Linked DNA regions of Saccharomyces cerevisiae S288C. Changing the gene in region 1 together with any one later gene gives a genetic interaction. Each region holds a gene or a part of one and is shown in the gene's direction. Other genes may lie near its edges.

The links.
Region 2: mutations in LTO1 (region 1) and GRX3 together harm fitness more than expected from each alone (negative genetic interaction), as found in Saccharomyces cerevisiae (one large-scale study listed by BioGRID).

What each region holds. Positions count from the first base shown.
Region 1 is NC_001146.8:156,015-159,063, reverse strand, and holds LTO1 (ribosome biosynthesis protein LTO1), read left to right. Parts: upstream 1-1,716; coding exon 1,717-2,205; downstream 2,206-3,049. Other genes in the region: DSL1 (Dsl1p), read left to right, coding at 1-955; copper metallochaperone ATX1, read left to right, coding at 1,199-1,420; ORC5 (origin recognition complex subunit 5), read right to left, coding at 2,525-3,049. UniProt on the Saccharomyces cerevisiae protein: Essential for life in oxygen, but nonessential under anaerobic conditions. Required for biogenesis of the large ribosomal subunit and initiation of translation in oxygen.
Region 2 is NC_001136.10:643,678-647,259, reverse strand, and holds GRX3 (monothiol glutaredoxin GRX3), read left to right. Parts: upstream 1-2,329; coding exon 2,330-3,082; downstream 3,083-3,582. Other genes in the region: mismatch repair ATPase MSH6, read left to right, coding at 3,423-3,582.

The sequences.
Region 1 (3,049 bases):
AGAAAAAACAAATCAAGAGAAGGAAAAAGAACCAGAAGAAGAAGAAAATGCCTGGGATGAAGCCTGGGCAATTGACGAAAATATAGATGATGCTTCCCTAGAAAATGGAAAGGAACATTTAAAAGCTCATGATGTAGGATCACTTGATAAAGACCACATTGAAGTTACACAGTTACCAAAATTGTTCTTGGCAATTTCACAGAATTTCAAGAGTAGCTTTGCAGATAGCCATGTTGATGAGCAATACTTTGCGTACAAATACAACCTTTTGCAGACATCGTATATGGCCATGTGCACAGCTAATTTTTCTCACAATTGGTGCCAATTATATGTGGATATGAGATATCTAATAGAACGAGATGAAAAGCTGTATAGAATAAAAGAATTAACAAGGAACCTGCTGGAAACTAAACTGAACATGAAATATCGTATTGTCTGTCAACTAATCAGGCATCAATTGACCGAATTTCGTGAGAACGAGAGAAATCCATCGTGGGACGCCACCATTGAGAAACTGCTACCTTATATCTTGAAGGAAATTGTTCGTCCACTGCAGAAAATAAGAGGTGAAGAAGGTTCCCGTTACTTGTTGTCTTTCTTAAACTTTTTATATAACGATTGCGTGACAAAGGAAATATTAAAATGGCAGATTATCTCTGAGGTCAATTCCGAAAATTTGGGTGAGCTCGTATCTTTATTAGTGAACAACACCGATATACAATTATTAGCGAAGGAACCAAGTTACAAAAAGATGAGAGAAAAATTCGCCACTATGGGCAAGTTTCTACCATTACATTTAAAGGAGATTATGGAGATGTTTTACAATGGGGATTTTTATCTTTTTGCGACAGACGAACTAATCCAATGGATAGAGTTATTGTTTGCCGACACTCCCCTGCGAAGGAATGCCATTGATGATATTTACGAAATTAGAGGCACTGCTCTAGATGATTAAAAAATAATTAATCGTAGGATAGGTTACATGATCATTGCAATAGATGTACATCTTGTATTACGTATGCGTAAGTTGTCTTTTTTTCAGTTTTCTAATAAATTTCACGTGATGCGGTAGTTTTTTTTGGGGGTGCAAAGTTGGCACATCTTGTAGTGCATTTTTGAGCTTCTTAAATGACTTGAATCATCTTAAAACATTGCAGGATGAGATTTCCAACGACACAAGAGAGAACTAGCGCAAAAGATGGCAGAGATAAAACATTATCAATTCAATGTCGTCATGACCTGCTCGGGATGTTCTGGTGCAGTCAATAAAGTTTTGACGAAATTAGAACCAGACGTTTCCAAAATAGATATATCCCTTGAAAAGCAATTAGTAGATGTATATACTACACTTCCTTACGATTTTATTTTAGAAAAGATTAAGAAAACCGGAAAGGAAGTTAGATCTGGCAAACAATTGTGAATGAAAGTGAAGAGAAATAGTTTTTTACTCTATTTTGTATTGTAGCTACTTAAGTAAATGATTAATATTCTCAATAGGATGCTTACGAAGAAAAAAGTCTTTTTTTATTGTTTTATTGTTTTATTCTTTGTTGGCTATGTAGCCATTTGCCTTTTCAGTATAATCTTACTAATATAAAAATCTCAATCATGGTGAGAAATCGTTTTATAAGAAAAATGAAAAAAAACTTGTTTAAATCAAATCACTTATCATATTTGAAGAGTAAATGGAAAGTAAAGATCACTGGACAAATAAAAATGGATTTTGATAATTTACTAAACCTAGAAGAACAGTATTACCAAGAAGGTTTTCTGGAGGGCCAGAATGAGAATATAAAGCAGAGCTTTCTAGAAGGTAAACAGTATGGTTTACAAGTGGGATTCCAAAGATTTACGCTCCTGGGACAAATGGAAGGTTTGTGTGATGTTATAGAATCGTATGGATTGCATAGTCCAACACTAGAAAAGAATATACATACCATTCGTACTTTAATGAAAGGTTTGAAAATGAATAACGATGATGAAAGTGTGATGGAATTTGAGAGGGTGTTAATAAAATTGAAAAATAAGTTTAGAACCATTCTAATAACTCTTCATCGATTAGTTAAAGATAAAAGAACCCCCACCGTGACATTTGAAGTCTTTGAAGACGTTTCAAGGGCCATTGCCGGAGAAATTAGAGGTTTTGTAGAAAATGAAGACATCGCAAAGAATAAGACAAAACAAAATCAGGCTCAATCCTGGTAAGAATACCAAGTGAAGAACATTATCGCCGGCCGCCAAAAAGAGCAACTAAACTAACAATTTTGCGCCGTTCAGTCTCCTCATTCATTGTTTTTCCATACAGTAGGGCGCTTTTAATAGTTTCTAGTGGACTGAATTAATAACGGTTATACGTATTAATCTTTGATTACCATATCCAAGAAACAGAGCGTAGAGCGTGGGAACAAAAAATACAAGGTTTACTTGATAATTGTTCATTCTATCCCACTATGTATAAATATTTATATAACGTAGTTGTTGTTTCGAACGTATCCTGCCCTCTGGATACCTTCCAGGGAGATAATCATTCGTGAATATCGCTGAAGTAATCGCTGATATTGAAATGAACAGATTCTGATATTTCTTTAATAATTTCCCAGGGAACGTTTACTTTCCACCTGACTTTAGGACTCAAATAGTCGATATTCTTGTTCATGGTTGTAGCTATTAATTTCAATGTATGCAATTCGGATAAATTTTGAAAAACCTCGATATTCGCTTTCATTAAGGATTCCTCACGAAGTGCAGATAGGGAACCACTCTCCGCCTTACCTTGAATAGGGAATATAGCTTGGAAAATAGCCAAAAGTCTTTCAATAGCAAATAAAGAAGGCTGTAAATATCTAGGGTTAACTTCTTTCTTCTTTCTTCGTCCATAAGCAGCTCTACCTTGTATGATACGTGTTTTCCTAGAGAAAATACTCGCATCGTATCTAGGTTCCAGATATGAACAAATATATGAGGCTATGAGCAGATACTTCGAAATTATTGATAAGTCGTAAGTTTGACTGTTCTCAAGGTCATCACGATTTGTGGTTATCGCGCTTTC
Region 2 (3,582 bases), on another chromosome or scaffold:
CTTCAACAGGAAACGTGACGGTACTCATAAAGCTAGATTTGTTGCAAGAGGTGATATTCAGCATCCTGACACTTACGACTCAGGCATGCAATCCAATACCGTACATCACTATGCATTAATGACATCCCTGTCACTTGCATTAGACAATAACTACTATATTACACAATTAGACATATCTTCGGCATATTTGTATGCAGACATCAAAGAAGAATTATACATAAGACCTCCACCACATTTAGGAATGAATGATAAGTTGATACGTTTGAAGAAATCACTTTATGGATTGAAACAAAGTGGAGCGAACTGGTACGAAACTATCAAATCATACCTGATAAAACAGTGTGGTATGGAAGAAGTTCGTGGATGGTCATGCGTATTTAAGAATAGTCAAGTAACAATTTGCTTATTCGTTGATGATATGATATTGTTCAGCAAAGACTTAAATGCAAATAAGAAAATCATAACAACACTCAAGAAACAATACGATACAAAGATAATAAATCTGGGTGAAGGTGATAACGAAATTCAGTACGACATACTTGGATTAGAGATCAAATATCAAAGAAGCAAGTACATGAAATTAGGTATGGAAAAATCCTTGACAGAAAAATTACCCAAACTAAACGTACCTTTGAACCCAAAAGGAAAGAAACTTAGAGCTCCAGGTCAACCAGGTCATTATATAGACCAGGATGAACTAGAAATAGATGAAGATGAATACAAAGAGAAAGTGCATGAAATGCAAAAGTTGATTGGTCTAGCTTCATATGTTGGATATAAATTTAGATTTGACTTACTATACTACATCAACACACTTGCTCAACATATACTATTCCCCTCTAGGCAAGTTTTAGACATGACATATGAGTTAATACAATTCATGTGGGACACTAGAGATAAACAATTAATATGGCACAAAAACAAACCTACCAAGCCAGATAATAAACTAGTCGCAATAAGCGATGCTTCATATGGTAACCAACCATATTACAAGTCACAAATTGGTAACATTTTCCTACTCAACGGAAAAGTGATTGGAGGAAAGTCGACAAAGGCTTCGTTAACATGCACTTCAACTACAGAAGCAGAAATACACGCAGTCAGTGAAGCTATTCCGCTATTGAATAACCTCAGTCACCTTGTGCAAGAACTTAACAAGAAACCAATTATTAAAGGCTCACTTACTGATAGTAGATCAACGATCAGTATAATTAAGTCTACAAATGAAGAGAAATTTAGAAACAGATTTTTTGGCACAAAGGCAATGAGACTTAGAGATGAAGTATCAGGTAATAATTTATACGTATACTACATCGAGACCAAGAAGAACATTGCTGATGTGATGACAAAACCTCTTCCGATAAAAACATTTAAACTATTAACAAACAAATGGATTCATTAGATCTATTACATTATGGGTGGTATGTTGGAATAAAAATCAACTATCATCTACTAACTAGTATTTACGTTACTAGTATATTATCATATACGGTGTTAGAAGATGACGCAAATGATGAGAAATAGTCATCTAAATTAGTGGAAGCTGAAACGCAAGGATTGATAATGTAATAGGATCAATGAATATTAACATATAAAACGATGATAATAATATTTATAGAATTGTGTAGAATTGCAGATTCCCTTTTATGGATTCCTAAATCCTCGAGGAGAACTTCTAGTATATTCTGTATACCTAATATTATAGCCTTTATCAACAATGGAATCCCAACAATTATCTAATTACCCACATATATCTCAATAACAAAACGAACAACATGAGATAAAACACGGCCTTCCCTAGCTGAACTACCCAAACGTATAAATGCTTGAACAATTAGTTTAGATCCGAGATTCCGCGCTTCCACCACTTAGTATGATTCATATTTTATATAATATATAAGATAAGTGACATTCCGTGAATTAATCTGATAAACTGTTTTGACAACTGGTTACTTCCCTAAGACTGTTTATATTAGGATTGTCAAGACACTGCGGTATTACTCGAGCCCGTAATACAACAATACACAGTTGTTACGGTCCTATAGTGTAGTGGTTATCACTTTCGGTTTTGATCCGGACAACCCCGGTTCGAATCCGGGTAGGACCTTTTTTAACTGTGGCTTCTCTGTTGAACCATCAGTTACTTTTTTTTTTTTTCAGAGAATGTGTGCCGGGTCATGAGATGCCAAACTAAGAGGTCATTAAAATATATTTCAAAGACTAAATGTGTTCTTTTCAGGTTCCATCTGCATTTTCTTTTAACTACACCTCGTACTGTTATAAACGCCACCAAGCAAGATATTACACAGCAGCAAAACTTTTTCAGGAAATGCCTGTTATTGAAATTAACGATCAAGAGCAATTTACTTACCTAACTACCACTGCGGCCGGCGACAAGTTAATCGTGCTTTATTTCCATACCAGTTGGGCAGAACCATGCAAAGCATTAAAGCAGGTTTTTGAGGCCATTAGTAATGAGCCTTCCAATTCCAACGTCTCTTTCTTATCCATTGATGCGGACGAAAACTCGGAAATTTCAGAACTTTTTGAAATCTCAGCTGTTCCATATTTTATCATAATTCACAAAGGGACAATCTTAAAAGAATTATCCGGCGCGGATCCAAAGGAGTATGTGTCTTTATTAGAAGACTGCAAGAACTCAGTCAATTCCGGATCATCACAAACTCATACTATGGAAAATGCAAACGTAAATGAGGGGAGTCATAATGATGAAGACGATGACGACGAAGAAGAGGAAGAAGAAACTGAGGAGCAAATAAACGCTAGATTGACTAAATTGGTCAATGCCGCGCCGGTAATGTTATTTATGAAGGGGAGCCCCTCTGAACCTAAATGCGGGTTTTCGAGACAACTTGTGGGTATCTTGAGAGAACATCAAGTAAGATTTGGCTTCTTTGATATATTAAGAGACGAATCTGTTAGACAAAACTTGAAAAAGTTTTCTGAATGGCCAACTTTCCCTCAACTTTATATAAATGGGGAGTTTCAAGGCGGTTTAGACATTATCAAGGAATCCTTGGAGGAAGACCCTGATTTTTTGCAGCATGCTCTCCAATCTTAAATAAATAGATGTATTTAGTGTAAATTGAAACAGAAAAGTCTCCATTTCCAACTAATGGTATGCAAGCATTTTTATATGTGTGACATAATGAATGGCTTCTGGTTAAGTTTGGCTTTTTGAACAACCATTGCCCGGAGAAAATAAACGCGTGAGCAGTAGCTGATACGCGTCTCACTTTTTCATAAATTCATGTATAGGTCATCGCCATATAGAGAAAATATTTGAAATTACATCTGTTGAAACTAATAAGAGCTTTTCCTTGGAGCCTTCTTTGCTAACAGATAAGATTTTTTAATTGGAGCAACTAGTTAATTTTGACAAAGCCAATTTGAACTCCAAAATGGCCCCAGCTACCCCTAAAACTTCTAAGACTGCACACTTCGAAAATGGCTCCACATCTTCTCAAAAGAAAATGAAGCAATCGAGTTTGTTATCTTTTTTCTCAAAACAGGTACCTTCTGGCACACCGTCAAAGAAGGTCCAGAAGCCTACTCCAGCGA